3 linked regions of the Arabidopsis thaliana genome follow. The protein of the gene in region 3 interacts with the protein of the main gene of each other region in a pairwise test. Each region holds a gene or a part of one and is shown on either strand. Other genes may lie near its edges.

Region 1 (5,631 bases), on a different chromosome or scaffold from region 3:
GTGGATTTGATTACAGAAATCAGAACGAGAGTTTCGAGTTTGACATTGACGGCCCATAGTAAAAGAGTTACCGGGCTTTTTATTCGCCGATTTGCCCCTCATACTTTTACTACTTTCTGATTCTTACCCCCTATTTTTACTCCTTTTTCCCAAATGTGAAGGTCTATAATAATTTGGTTATCAAAATTAAATTAAAGTTATTGAAGTAGATATTTCAAGTATAAAAAGAAAACACAAAAATGGAAAGTAATGTAAAACAATTTAAAGAATATTTGAATTTATGGCGCGAGACGCATTCTGGTTATTTTTTATTATAACGGTAATTTTATACCGGACAAATTAAATATACTTTATATTATTATTTGTTAAAGTTTTTTTTTATTTTTATAGAAAAATAAATTTAAAATCTCGTACTCAATGATTTTTATATGTTGACATCGTTTAGTAAATCTAAACTTAAATATACCTTATTAATATATAACAGTTTGACTTATTTTACTGAAATTAGATATATCACCTATATGTATGTCATACATTATAAATATATACGAGATATATTTTAATTTTATATAAATTTATCAGCATTTTAGTACACGCAAATGTAGTTAACCGACTATTTTTCATTCATATAAAATAAAACGATTATATTTTTACTTTAAAAATTTATCAGTAGATTGTAATTAATTAGTTTAATGGTTTTTTTTTGTTTTTTTCTACAGTATTAAACTTAATTATATGAAATCAAAAGTTTTTTTCTATAAAAAAAAAAGAAAAAAAAATTTGAGATGTGTATTTAACGATAAAATAAACAAAATTGCAATGTTTGGTTAAGTGGTCCAAAGAAAACTATAATGGGTGAAAATAAGCGCCTACTAAAATTTCAGGGACGAAACATGACATTGTCACTCTTTGAGGTAACAGATGGGGTCCTCTTGCCCGAATTCGGATAAAACCAGTTTAACCCGACCCAGATCTATGCGAACCGACCCGGTTTGAAAAAAGGCGTCGGACAATCCCCAATCTCTCGTCGTTCGACGGGGCCATTCGTTTCTCACTTTCCGGTTTTTCTTCGATTTGCAACGTTGTGAATGCTTACACATCTATGGGTATGTTCTTGCTTTGTTAAAAAGCACGGAGCTTTACGTCCTTCTCTCAAGAATTTCAGTATCTTCCATGAAGTTAGTAAATTTATCTGTATTTATATGATGAGATCATAACTACGCAAATTAATAGTGTTGTACATTGTTGCACAAGATGTCTCTTTTGAGTTCGACTAATAATTCAATTTTTAGACGAATCCCTCAAGCTAACAAAGGAAATCAAAGGCTTTTCATTTCCTGTGTGATTATCATAAAAAGGTTGTTGCACTCTTCTAAAGCTTATTTGTTCTTCTCAATTCCAGCTGAAACCATTTAAATCAAACTGTTTAGGACGCGTTGTGCCATAGTTTTCGTCGTGTGTGTTAAGATCTAGAGCTGTTCTTGTGTGTGTTTCAAGCTTGCAATCTTCATTATTCTCGTTGAATCTTTCTTCTGTATACTCACTGTTGTTGCTACTCCTTCCTCTGTGTTCATGTAATCCCACTCCTATTGACAATCTTCCAGGACTTCTTCTTGAAGACGAGATTCTCGGTTCTGCGTTGTTAACCATTGTTGAAAGATATGGCCTGTTGTGATTCTCTCTGAGGCTTTCTTCTTCTGCCCATGTGAGCTCCATTCTATGGAAGAATGGCTCTTCCATTATCTCTTTCTGCTCTGAAGTTGAATCTCCAATATATGTTCTTAATCCCAGTCTGTTGTCAAGCATCTTTGGGGCTTTCTGAGTTCCTTCACTTGAGGTTAGGCAACTGTCCAGGGAGGAGTTAGGTGGATACGTTTTTTGCATCTGTTGATGGTGTAGATTCTGCAGTTCTTTCGGTTCGAGGAAACTAGAGTCTGGATAGTCTGCTGATACTTTAGATACTAATTCTGAGAGTTGAGCTTTTGTTGCTTCAATCCCAGCTGCACCTAGGTTCTGTCTTCCAAGAGTCTCTTGTGCTTTCTCCAGAATCGATTGCAGGTACTTTCCTTGAGCCTCTATCCTGAGCTGCAAATGTCGCTGTACCTGGCTCAGTTTTAAAATATTTTTAATGAAATCGTAACTAAATGCTCTGTTCTCTGTTTCTATATAGTTCATCTCGCCTCTATTGATACTCTATACTTATGATTTTCACTGATCTATGTGTTTCTACAATTTTGAGTATAGTTCTGTAAATTGTTCCTATTTTTTTCCATGAGAATTAATGAAACCAGACTCATCTTGATTGGTCTTGTTAGAACAAATATAGGAACCGAAAATTCCAACACTGATAGCTGCTTTGAACATGGTGAATGCACAGAGTACAGTATATGATAGATACCTCAAGTTGCTCGTGTAGCCGTCTCTGGACCTCTATTTGCATTTGAAGGGCATCACTTATGGGTAAGTTCCTGCGTGCACAAATATAGGTCATTTTTGAGAATCTACTAAGGTAGAATATGTAAGCAAATAGGCATATCCTTACATGCTCGGCTGTGGTCCAATGCTTAAACTCTCACTGTGACTTTCGTCTACTTCAGGGGGGTTTTCTTCTACCATGGTCATCACACCTAAACCAGGTTGCTTTTAGTTTACTTGAAGGAAAATAGTATGAAAAAAGAATGAATCTTTAGATTAAAATATTTTTGTATCTGAGTAATGAATAACTAAGCTTACTTGTCTTGTTTAAACTGCTGTTAGCTTGTCCATTAAGATTCTTGCTTAGCCTATATTTCTGGTAGTCAAATCATGATATTAATAATCTTTGTAAAACAAAAAACAGATATTACAGATTTTTCATATCTTGACATATCGTCATTTTTGTGCTACTTTAATAGTTTTCTACCAATCGAATTGATGAACGAGTCATGTAAGTTTAGGGCCTTGGGCATATGACTGTATAAAGTGTTGATGGATTACCTGAAGATGACTCTTGAGATGGTATAAGGTAAGGCCTGGAATGCCCATGACTTTCATGATTGTCTTAGGAGTAGCCTCTGCGCAGACAAAAGTATACACATTAATACATTATGTTCAAAAAGCCTGATTGTAAAAGATGGTTCATTTGCTTATAAGATAACTTACTATCTCCTCCTCCAAGCTGGTTGACCGCTTCAACAAATCTCTCGTGAAGATCTGGAGTCCATTTTAGTCGTGGCTTTGCATCAGTGGAGAGAATGAGTCCAGAATCTCCTGTGCCATTTCCTCTGAGGAACGGATGCCTTTCAGAAGAAATGGGCATTCTCGATGAAGAGAGGATGCTCTTTCCTTGGTGCTGGTTGTGGTAATACATAAGTCTGTCTTCAAAATAAAAAGGTAAGCTTATCCCACCTAGCAATACTGCATTAATAATGAGTGCAAAGACCAAATGTTTTTCTTTTACCTGACACAATCTTTAGTTTTTAATTGCAACCTGCTACTCTCAGTTCAGAGATACACTATGGTTTGCAACTCCACCAACTTGGGAAGATGTCTTTGCTGCTTTCCTTATTTATGCTCTTTTTCTCAGGCCGGGGTCTCTCAAGAGTAAAAAGTCTTTGCAACTTTGCTTTATATAGAAAGTTGAATGGCAAAAAGGCAAATTAGAGGATGATAACTAAGGTATGGAATATGAATAACTGGTCCAATCGTTGCTTTGTTATTTGTGTTCTTATCGTTTAAACTGTACCTTGTGTGCTTACATTATTTTTTCTAGTTTTGATTCCTCTGGACTACAACTTTTCAGTGCAATTAAAGCCTTGCATTAGATACGAGAATTGATCCACAATTAATGCATCATATGCGCATTCCTTCACCATTCTGGTATATGAAAGTATCTTATTCTCCAAATCTTTTTGACAACTTTTCTACTTGGGCAGGGGAATTCATTCTTTTTCCTTATTCCTCAATTTTTTCAAAGTCCACAGCTCCAACCTCTCTATCTCTTGAGGTATATTCTCAATGCTTTCCACTTGTCTGTATTGTTTTTGTTCCGACTTGAAAGTCATTTTTTCAGTCTCTACATACATCTTAAATCTATTAAAACTTTAAGTTAGGTTTTGACCAAAATCAATAATGGTTTATTTGGCCATGTTTCAAGAAAATATAGTGATTATGTTTGTATTATTATATAGCGTAGAATACCCAGGTTTGTGATATGCATAATGCAAGGGGGGTGAAAGTTTATGTTTCAACATTGATTTTTCTTGAAAGATAATTGAGAAAGCGAATGTAGAATATTTCTTGCTGTCTCCTTCAACAAGTTTAGTACCTATTCTCTCTAAATAGTATAAAAATTAGTGGGGGGTCCATATCTTACACTCTTTGATTGGCACAACATATTTGGCTCATCCATGCATGTGTTAATCTATGTATGTGTGTAACCTTTCCTGTCTGTTCTGAATGCAACATAACATGTCTTCAGTGCATATTTGTATGTATTGTTTGTGTGTTTATGTGTGCATACATGTACATATTTACATGTATATATGTATAAGTTCGTGAAGCATATATGCATCTAATGTTTGGCTGGTTTCTTACAGTGTACTTCCTTGAATCTACTTTAGTGGTGAGTACGGCTCTAAATTTTATCATCATTCATATTATGGTGTTGGATGCGAGTTTGATTTGGACTTCACTATTATATTTCTACTGACTGATTAAGTGTAGAGATACTCTCCTATATGATATACAGCTATATAGAATAAGTTGAGAGATAAAGATATATAAATATACAAGTCGTGATTGCCAAATGCTGAAATTATGGCTTCTCTATGTGCAATTGAGAATATATCCACTATCTAGTATAGAGTCTCACATATCTTAATGAGTTTGATAGGTGCCTTAAAAAAAAAAACTAGGTAGAAATATGGTCTATTGTTTGAAAGGAAAATGTCAAAAAAACAAATCTTATGTTCCTTGAATGATATCTTTGCATTTTTCAATCTTTTTTTGGTGAAATCTCATGGTTCTGATTTCTCATTAACACTTTATTCTGTTTGGTGAAGAACCTTTTTCATAACCTTCAGTTAAAAGTATTTGAGCATATTGCCTAAATAGTTGATTGGCATGTGAGTGGGAATATGCTTCCACAAAGAGAGGCTTCATATTGTGTGCTGCAAGTTTGAAAACTCTATTTGTATACCATCAAAAGTAAATTAGACGAAGCAAACAATTTATGTTGAACTCTTTTGATTGGCTTCTCTTTTGTCAGATAGATAATCCTCTGTTCTATATCAAATGTAGTTTCAGAAAAGATCAAATTTTGTGTATGCTTTTTGTAGCAGGTTCTGTTCCAGATTTTGGACTACTGTGTTTTTCTTCAGAACTAGAGCTTAAACGATATGTTATCTTGGTCACAATTGTTATACTAGTTTGTGCTTAATTATGTAGTCTTTCCCCTTCTTCAGTGAAAGAAAAGAGTGATACAGACAAAATGTTCTTCCTTGTACGTTCATTTCCCTTTGACAGATTCTTGTTCTTGTTTACTAACTTTAATCAGTGTTTGATCTTCCATAGGGAGCATAATTCAACACGTGGGATTGTGATTCGCTTGATTGAATGAGAGAGGATTGGATACATAAAACAGGAGGAAGC
Region 2 (3,389 bases), on a different chromosome or scaffold from region 3:
AAGCTGAAAATCCCAAAAACCTCTTAGTAATTCAAAAAAAAAAAAAATAGCTGAAAAGCAAATCTCTATTTGATCAATTAATTCGAACGCTCAATAGTATGTAAGAAGTCATTTACACAGTACCTCGGTAAGTGTTTGAGGGTTAAATATTTGTTGAATTTTTAACATCACACTAATTTAGAGTATAATCTAAATTATAAGGTATACGTATGAAATCATAGCTCAATGATGATAGAATTCGTTAATTATTCTCGTAAAAGTGAATATTTGATTTAAAATGAGTCAAAATATATTTGATTTGACGAATTCTAAAAGTGTTCCGCTTGAGTTATAGAAACATGCTCAAAATGATGGTGATGACTTTTTTTTAGTTCTTTATTTGAAAAGTCAGTTTGGAAATGAAAACAGTAAGGCTGACCAAACAATATACAGTATGTTATCCAACTCTTATCCGTTTTAAGAAAACAAAGTATGTGTAAGAGTCGGGTAATATGATATCAGGTTATTTCTAAACCATCTGTCTTGTAACCCATCATTTTACTTGGATATATTTTCTTACATACAAATAATTTATTATAATAGTTTAGACATGTCAATTGGACTAGTCCAGTCTGACAAAGTCCAGAAAATTCGAATATATTTTATTTAGTCTGGTTCGGTTAGTAAAAATTTTGAAATAAAAAAATTTGAACTTATATTTCAAGATCTGGTAATAACAGGGACAAGACTTTTCCAGGTTTTTTATGTTTTTCTTTCCAGAAAAAAACAAATTTATAATTTATAATATTTCTGAAAGATGGATATATGAACAAAACAAATCAGTTGAAATTTAAATAACCATGAAAGCCAGTTTATTTTCAAAAAAAAAGGTTTAAAATCAAAAAAAATAATCTAATTTTTTTATTTAAACTCATAACAAATAAAATATAAAATCAGAAGATTTTAATCTAGACAGTCGAGCCAAGATTTGTTTTTTAGATTTATAGTAAGGCACAATTGAAAAACTAGGTTTAGGGTTTTCAATACTATTAAAAAAAACAAAAACAAATATTCCAATTAAAGAAAAATATTAACAAAAGAAAAGTAAAAAAAAAAATTAAAATTTTTTTAGGCCGGCTTGAATCTGGTGGGATTAAGCCTCAAAAACTTTTTATCCCGAATGGGTTAGCTTAAGGGAATTTTCTGGATATATATTTTTAAGTCTGAATCTCTATTTTCAGAATTGATAGTCCGGGGAATTTGACCCTAAATGAAATATAGTTTGATAAATAAACAAATAGACAATATCTGAAGAACAAATTAACCGTCCAAAAAAAAATATGCGAACTCCTATCCAAACACCTAGTTTAAAAATAACAATATAATATTTTAAATAACAATGTTGGAATATCATTAATTTCTAAGGAAAAAAACTAAAACCTTAACTTTAAAAAAATTAAAATAGGATAAAATAGGACTATACTTGTACAGTTGTATCAGTAAATAATAATTTCTGTAAACTGCCAGAAGAAAGGTTTATTTTCCTTTTTTTAGTGGACCTATCAATTAATTATTCCAATATAACTTCTTTTTTTCAGGTCCACTAAATATATTTTCTATACTACATATTATATTACATGATAATATTTCATTCTCAAATATACCTATATAAATTTAAGATTTCTTCTATTTACCAATTAGTTTAATTATTAGTTTGTTACACCATTATTGTTTTCCATACATAACATAAATAGAAATAGAGTTTTCTGTAACGTTTCTATATAATCCAAGTGAAACAAACATATTTTCCACTTCCATTTACAAAAGAAAAAGAAAAAAAAAACAGAGAAAAATGGATTCGAAAAATGGAATTAACAACAGCCAAAAGGCAAGAAGGACTCCAAAAGACCGCCATTTGAAAATTGGTGGCCGTGATCGTCGCATTCGGATCCCGCCGAGTGTTGCTCCCCAACTATTTAGATTGACAAAAGAACTCGGCTTTAAAACCGATGGTGAAACTGTCAGTTGGCTCCTCCAGAATGCCGAGCCTGCCATTTTCGCAGCCACGGGACATGGTGTCACCACCACCTCCAATGAAGATATCCAGCCAAATAGGAATTTTCCTAGTTACACCTTTAATGGTGATAATATTAGTAATAACGTTTTCCCTTGTACGGTTGTAAATACTGGTCATCGTCAGATGGTGTTTCCGGTTTCTACAATGACAGATCATGCACCTTCAACTAATTACAGTACTATTAGTGATAATTACAATTCCACCTTTAATGGTAATGCTACCGCCAGTGATACAACATCAGCAGCAACAACAACAGCCACAACCACAGTTTGAGCTTGTGAAGGAGGAGACGGCGTCGCTGAGAAGGCCAATTTGGAGTCTTTAAAATAAATATTGGAGATTTAAGAGTGTTCAGTTCTGGACGTTTTAGTTCGTTTCTGTTTGCTTTTTCTTTCCTCTTCATGTTTTTCAGTTTGAGAGTTGAACTAGGGTTTGTTTTAGTTCGATCGGTATCCATTTGTCTTTTTTTCTTGTATGCTCATGTTTTTTTAAGATGAATAATAATACCTAAAATTAATTATAGATGTAATTTAAAACTGTTTGTCCATGTTTGAAGTTTAGTAGAGAATTTGATTTCAACAATGGATTAAATTAAACTCTTCACAACAAATTTGATTCATTTTTTCTTTTTTGGACACGAACAATTTCGTTGGTATTCTAGAATAAATAATTCTGTCATAATATTTACCGAAACATAACTTTTATGTACAGTTATTTATTTCCGTTTTCTAATTTGTCAAAATTCGTTTGTCTTTCGAACCTAAAGGTTCCAACGGTTATGAAAACATTAATTAAAAACGGATATCAAAAACTATAATATAAATAAATTAAAGAGATAATAAAAGGAACAATTGAGTAAGAATGTGGTTTTATATCTGTTAAAGAAATTTCCAGCTCACACTTAGCTGGACAATAATTATTTAAGATTTGTTTCTGTATTTAGCTTCATACATCTATTTTAATATTTCTTAATACACAGATATATATTTTAATATATATATATATATATTATTTTCAAGATTCTCAAGGAAAAAAAAAGAAAAAAAAAAGGAAGGAAAACTAAATCTAAAGAATAAGAAACTAATTTTTGTGTAAATAAAAATTACTTTAATAAACTTTTAATAGTTTTCCCTTAAATTCTTTTACTTTATAGATTGGTTAATATGTATTTAGAGAAAAATACTATTTAACCTTTATTTAGATTAAAAAAAAAAACTTGAGTAAGAAAATGGTTTAAAATTCTTAAAGAAAATTCCAGCTCACTTTAAGCTAGAAAAAGAGATTATATAGTTTATAGTATAAAAATAAATTTAATCATACCATGTTTAATAAA
Region 3 (6,875 bases):
AAGATTTGTTTTTTACTTTTTAGTTAAATCTCTTTTTGATAAAGGTTTCCTCTTTAGGTTTTTGTTTTTGTTGTAACTCTTGTTCTGCAAGTTAAAGGTTCATCACTCAGAGCTAGGTAGTACTCTGAGTATGAAGTCACAGATACTCCTACGTCGAACGTATAGCACAACCATCCCTCCTCCCACAGCAAATGTTAGAATCACTCATCTCTCTCGTATCGGCAAGATTCATGAAGCTCGGAAGCTTTTCGATTCATGTGACTCGAAATCAATCTCTTCCTGGAACTCTATGGTTGCTGGGTACTTTGCGAATCTAATGCCCCGAGATGCACGGAAACTGTTCGATGAAATGCCTGACAGAAACATCATCTCTTGGAATGGTTTGGTGTCCGGGTATATGAAGAACGGGGAGATTGACGAAGCTAGGAAAGTGTTTGATTTAATGCCTGAGAGGAATGTTGTCTCATGGACGGCGTTGGTGAAAGGGTATGTGCACAATGGTAAGGTTGATGTGGCAGAGTCGTTGTTTTGGAAAATGCCTGAGAAGAATAAGGTTTCTTGGACTGTGATGCTTATTGGGTTTTTGCAAGATGGGCGAATCGATGATGCGTGTAAGCTGTATGAAATGATACCGGATAAAGATAATATTGCAAGGACTAGTATGATTCATGGATTGTGCAAAGAAGGAAGAGTGGATGAGGCAAGAGAGATTTTTGATGAGATGTCAGAGAGAAGTGTGATTACTTGGACTACAATGGTCACAGGATATGGGCAGAACAATCGTGTGGATGATGCTAGGAAGATTTTTGATGTGATGCCAGAGAAAACTGAAGTTTCATGGACTTCCATGCTTATGGGCTATGTACAGAATGGGCGAATTGAGGATGCTGAAGAACTTTTTGAAGTTATGCCAGTGAAGCCAGTTATTGCGTGTAATGCTATGATTTCCGGGCTTGGACAGAAAGGAGAGATAGCAAAAGCAAGAAGGGTTTTTGATTCAATGAAGGAGAGAAATGATGCATCTTGGCAAACGGTGATCAAAATTCACGAAAGAAACGGTTTTGAATTGGAGGCTCTTGATTTATTTATTCTGATGCAGAAACAGGGAGTTAGACCCACTTTTCCAACATTGATAAGCATTCTTTCGGTCTGCGCCAGCTTAGCAAGCCTCCACCATGGTAAACAGGTCCATGCTCAGTTGGTTAGATGTCAATTTGATGTTGATGTGTATGTTGCGTCTGTTTTAATGACAATGTACATTAAATGCGGCGAGCTTGTGAAGTCTAAACTAATATTTGACAGGTTTCCTTCAAAGGACATTATCATGTGGAATTCAATCATATCTGGTTATGCCTCACACGGTCTTGGAGAGGAAGCATTAAAGGTTTTCTGTGAGATGCCTTTGTCTGGTAGTACTAAGCCTAACGAAGTCACCTTCGTTGCAACTCTCTCAGCATGTAGTTACGCTGGGATGGTTGAGGAAGGGCTTAAGATCTATGAATCTATGGAATCAGTTTTTGGGGTTAAGCCAATCACCGCGCATTATGCTTGCATGGTAGATATGCTTGGGCGTGCAGGACGGTTTAATGAGGCAATGGAAATGATTGATAGTATGACTGTCGAACCAGATGCTGCAGTTTGGGGTTCTCTATTAGGAGCGTGCAGAACTCACTCGCAGCTGGATGTGGCAGAATTTTGTGCGAAGAAACTCATAGAGATTGAACCGGAGAATTCTGGGACTTACATCTTGCTCTCCAACATGTATGCATCTCAAGGTAGGTGGGCTGACGTTGCAGAACTGAGAAAACTTATGAAGACTAGGTTGGTAAGAAAATCACCAGGTTGTAGCTGGACTGAAGTCGAGAACAAGGTGCATGCATTCACTCGTGGGGGTATTAATAGCCATCCCGAGCAGGAATCTATTTTGAAGATACTGGATGAATTGGATGGGTTATTGAGAGAAGCCGGGTATAATCCTGATTGCAGCTATGCATTGCACGATGTAGACGAGGAAGAGAAAGTCAATAGCCTGAAATATCATAGCGAGAGACTAGCGGTAGCTTATGCTCTTTTAAAGCTATCTGAAGGAATACCCATCCGAGTCATGAAGAACCTTAGAGTTTGTAGTGATTGCCACACAGCAATAAAAATAATCTCTAAGGTGAAAGAGAGGGAGATCATTCTAAGAGATGCAAACAGATTCCATCACTTCAGAAACGGAGAGTGTTCCTGTAAAGATTACTGGTGAGATTCAATAAATGCCAAGCAGAATGTTTTTTTTTAATCTTAGGCTTAGCTATCAATCCTCGTTGGAGCGTTGGCAAAATGGAGTAATTCTCGCAAACCATAGGAACTTGCTCAGCCATTGATGAGAGTTCTCTCTAAGTTCTTCTGCTAATATATATATATTTTTTTACTGATCTTGTTATCAATGTGCATTTGTAGCATTTTCTTCAATATGGTTAATAAGAAGTGATGAACAATCTTCAAGCAAAACTAGAATTCCATGACACATTTGTTTTTGGTACGTAGTTACTAACATTCTTTGTTGCTTATACAGAAACTGAAGAGCTCTTTGTCTCTTGTATGTATGTATGCTACAGAGAAAGATTCAAGTCTAAACAAACGTTAGTCTCAGATCCTTCTTGCTTTTCCTTAGAGCCATCATACTCGTTGGATGCTGAAGAGCTCTCATTAGCTGCTTTTTCAATGTTGTTGGCCTCTGCTTTATTCATGAAAATGAAATCTTCTGGCTGAAACGAAGGGAATCTACGAACCCTTGCTCTTTCTTCTTCTTCCTGTCTCTTCTTCTCCATGGAGCTGTTGACATATTTCCGCATTTCCCTTGCGTTTTTAAGCACTGTGTACAACTTCTCCATCTTTTCTTCTTCGTCATCTTCCTTCTCCATTTTCACCCTCTTTCTGTCTCTGTCCATTGAACCGCTCTCTCTTCCTTCCCCTATGAAAATGTTTCTCTTTAGTTACATCATTTTCATCCTACTTTGATCATCAACACATGATACATCTGGAAGAATTTTCTGGAGGAATTGGTGGAGAAGATATAATTATTGCCTCTAGTGGGAAGACTAACAACATGACCTTATCTAAAAGTCTCTCAGACTTTCTTCTTTCCTTTGGGTGGCTTTGGAGACTTTTCAACACTATTATGGACCCCACCATGATGGACATTCATATAGCAACATGACATACATGTGTACATATGTACAGTCTACAGGGAATGGCACAGCTTCAAGCTAAACAAACACACTTCACAATAACCATTCAGAATCACTCTCATTTGTTTGTTGCTGCATCTATGTTTCTTCTTCAGTCATCTGCCCATGGGACACCGTGCTTGGCCCAAAGATAGTATGCCGCAACTGGTCCTCGTCCACCAAATTCATACAACTCCGGAGCTGTGTGATGCTTGTCTATCTCTTCTAGAACCGGACTAAGAATGTTCCATGCTGCTGCAACCTCATCGCTTCTCATGAACAGATGATTGTCTCCGTCAATTACATCATGAATTAGGTGTTCATATGAGTCTGGTACTTCGGTTTTATACCTACAGGTTTGATCCAACAATTCAACCAACCATAAGGCGCAAAAGTTCGATTTTTAAAATGTGTAGGAACAAAGATGAGAATGCAAAACTTGCCTGTCTTTATAGAGCAAGTTAAGTTCAGAAGCGTCTAGCTGAAGACCTAAACCAGGAACCTTGTTGTTGATTTTCACCAGGATGGCCTCATCAGGTTCGTCACGTAGAATAAGCTCATTTGTCCCCAAATCTATGTTTATTCCAATATTTTCTCGGTATAGGTTTCCAGGAACATGCCGGAATTGCACATGAATCTCCACTCTTTCAACATTAAGGCACACCAATCAATTGTTATGACAGTTGGATATGTCTATGAGTAGGAATAATTATTCTTACCTGTGTTTAATGAGGCCAGTGCCAACTCTTACAAGGAAAGGTACACCATCCCAACGTGCATTATCAATATACAAGGCTGCTGCACAATATGTAGGGTCTACACCGTTCAAGATCACACCGTTCTTGTCTCGGGAACTGGATTTATACTGGCCAAGGATGACATCACGCGGGTCTATCTTGCGAATTGATCTTAAAACCTTCACCTGCAGAAGCAGGTTTGTCACCAAGTCACTTGACAGAACAAGAGTACACAACTTACATATATACCATAAGACGATTTTGTTCTTTACAGTACAGGTTGACCTTTTCATTTCGGATATCTTCACCATCGAGACTTATCGGAGGTTCCATGGCAAGTAATGCGATTGTCTGAAGTATATGGCTGTGCACTATGTCCCGTATTATTCCATATCCATCAGAAAACCTTAAAAAAAGCAGTAGGAAATTAGAAAATAACATTACTGATTTGTCTAAGAATGCTGAAACAACACAATTTACTCTCACATGCAAAGAAATGGTGAAAATAGAACTATTGTGCCTTACTTTTCTGTTTGCGCAATTGATTCTGATATAATAACCTGGAAACATCATTTATACACAAAGTGAACAAACCAGAATGTGGAAGAGGAAAGTTCAGGCACTATACACAACTACAAACAATCAGAAGGAAACACTACCTGTATATTGCGTATGTATGTTCTGTTCCATAGTGGTTCAAAAACTAGATTTGAAAACCTTAACACTGTCAGATTTTCAATGAGGTTTCTTCCTAACATGTGATCTATCCTGTAACGGGCACAGAAGTGTGAAGAAATATGAACTTGAGAGCTGTGCATGCAGAAAGCAACTAGATTTAAAAGAAGGACCTGTAGATTTGCTTCTCTTCAAACTTAGAGAGAAGTGACTTTGTTAACTGATGAGACGAATGTGAGTTAAAACCAAAAGGTTTCTCAACTATTATTCGAGTCCAGCCTCGTGGTGCCTGAGCGTTATCTCCAATGGTGCATGCCACATCCACCAGAGCTTCTTGAGGTACTGAGAGGTAAAAGATTCTATTTGCTTCTGATTCTCCCTGAAGAAGAAAAGCTGTTAATGTCTTATTCTATCTTGCTTGTCTGTTCAAAATGTTGTAAACTCAGAAAGAGGACTACTTCTGGGACAAAATGTAATCATTGAAAGAAAGAAAAAAAGGTACTTAGGAACCTCAATCTGTTTCATTCTCTCGGCAAGTCGGGACATCCCATCCCTGTTATTATAACCTCCATTGATATAGTATGTTCTACTCTGAAATGCATCCATCTTGCCCCCACAATTCTCCCTGAACATTTAGCATCATTCTTTAGCTAGCACGGCCGTATATCAGAGATACCAAATTTAAGGTAGTACCAAGAATTATACATACTGATGATCAACACGGCAAGTCAGCGTTGATGCAATGATGGATCTGAGGTCTTCATCTGTCAGATTCTTTCTTGAAACCCCAAATATAGCAACATCCTGTGACAATGAAGACCAATCAAGAAGACAACCGAAAAAAACTATCCAACTGTTTTGCTGCTTACTTTGTAATTGTTCATGAGCACAAAAGTCATACCTCAGGAAGGTAGCCGCTATAATACAACGCAAACAATGCCGGGAAAATCTTCCCTCTTGCTAGCTCACCAGTGGCTCCTACAACAGCAATGCAAAGTGAGGCCCTTCTTCGAACATCTGAAAGATCATCCGAGAGTTGTTTTGACACAGGTGGTAAGTCTCCAACATTGTGAAACCCATCATTCAAATCCGTTCCCAGAATATTCTCTTCTGGTCGTAAATCTTCAGCTCTAGTTTCTTCAGCAAAACCTGCATCACATTCTACCTCAGGAAGTGCTAAAGAATGATCAAGTGAAGACATGAGATGTAAATTGACTCATATCTTAGAACTAGACCTCGTTCATCATCGCTGAGGAAAGTGTGCTTTGAGTGTGTTGTAAGCTCGTTTACAGGCTGATGTTTTCTGTTGTTGCCTTGTCTACGATTCAAGCTCTTAAGTATCCACAGTTTCAAACCACAGAATCTCCGGCAGAGATTCGAGCCTCCTCCGTTGAGAACAAGGCTTCCACTTCTGGAGAAACTATAGTCTCTTGACGAAACCTATTCACACAAAATAGAGAAATTTCAACAACTAGAAATCAAGTTGATTTCGAAGGTCAATAATATACTAAAGCTTAGATTCAGAGGGCATGTAACACGAATTTGAGATCTTTGGTGAGATTGCAGAAAACATTAGCATAATCCAAGAAAAATAATAATCTTTGTTTCTCAAAGTAATGACCTTTTGATAAAACGAAAGCATGCATGAAAGGTAGAGCGAATACATGTGCTTACCGGAAAATTAGAAAAAGAGGCGGCGAGATGGCAAGAGCAGACGGAGGAAGACGGAGCCGTCGCTGATTGAGAAAAGGGAAGCAAGCAACTGGAGAGAGACATGAGGATAGTTCCTCAGGGATTATAGCTAAACATGTTCAAAGCTTTAAAGCTGCTTTAAGTGGATCAAAGTGGAAGACGAGTGCAAGTTTAAGTTTTCTGATTGACGCCTCCATTAATGGTTCCAACTTTCAGATAATCGTCGGGTTCTTCTAAACCGAACCGTACCGGTTGGTTCTCGAGGAAAGAGAATTGAATTTGTGGTTTAGGCGGGGGTGGGTAGGTTGACTTTCGATATCTCAACGTCAACGTCTCTTCTGGTCCCGCCGAGTCGGCGTCATCGTTGAGTTGGTGAGATCATCTTCTTCTCAACTTCATCGATCTTATCGTCTCGAAAATTGTCACCTTTTCTTCTCAGCTACTTCAGGCGGAGAAACACTTTCCGTGGTTTAGTGTTGAGGACGATCACTGTTTGTAATTCGATGGCGAGGAAGAAGATCAGAGAATATGACTCCAAGAGACTTCTCAAGGAGCA

What was found. Proteins that work in one complex are often made in the same cells at the same time.
Region 1: the proteins of NIMIN-3 (region 3) and MYR1 interact in binary tests that used the Arabidopsis thaliana proteins (3 or more experiments, as listed by UniProt).
Region 2: the proteins of NIMIN-3 (region 3) and TCP16 interact in binary tests that used the Arabidopsis thaliana proteins (3 or more experiments, as listed by UniProt).

What each region holds. Positions count from the first base shown.
Region 1 is NC_003076.8:6,027,225-6,032,855, forward strand, and holds MYR1 (myb-related protein 1), read right to left. Parts: upstream 3,579-5,631; 5' UTR 3,440-3,578; intron 3,373-3,439; exon of another isoform or gene 3,358-3,372; 5' UTR 3,350-3,357; coding exon 3,142-3,349; exon of another isoform or gene 3,054-3,141; coding exon 2,977-3,053; exon of another isoform or gene 2,792-2,976; coding exon 2,734-2,791; exon of another isoform or gene 2,628-2,733; coding exon 2,543-2,627; exon of another isoform or gene 2,469-2,542; coding exon 2,399-2,468; exon of another isoform or gene 2,104-2,398; coding exon 1,393-2,103; 3' UTR 1,061-1,392; downstream 1-1,060. UniProt on the Arabidopsis thaliana protein: Transcription factor that may act on the GAL1 promoter. Acts redundantly with MYR2 as a repressor of flowering and organ elongation under decreased light intensity. Represses gibberellic acid (GA)-dependent responses and affects levels of bioactive GA.
Region 2 is NC_003074.8:16,529,348-16,532,736, forward strand, and holds TCP16 (TCP domain protein 16), read left to right. Parts: upstream 1-1,831; coding exon 1,832-2,329; downstream 2,330-3,389. UniProt on the Arabidopsis thaliana protein: Required during early processes in pollen development.
Region 3 is NC_003070.9:3,035,313-3,042,187, forward strand, and holds NIMIN-3 (NIM1-interacting 3), read right to left. Parts: upstream 3,097-6,875; 5' UTR 2,937-3,096; coding exon 2,598-2,936; 3' UTR 2,442-2,597; downstream 1-2,441. Other genes in the region: AT1G09410 (pentatricopeptide (PPR) repeat-containing protein), read left to right, coding at 131-2,248; G6PD4 (glucose-6-phosphate dehydrogenase 4), read right to left, coding at 3,328-3,565, 3,659-3,859, 3,935-4,131, 4,202-4,358, 4,478-4,512, 4,612-4,720, 4,801-5,006, 5,138-5,252 and 4 more; ACLA-3 (ATP-citrate lyase A-3), read left to right, coding at 6,823-6,875.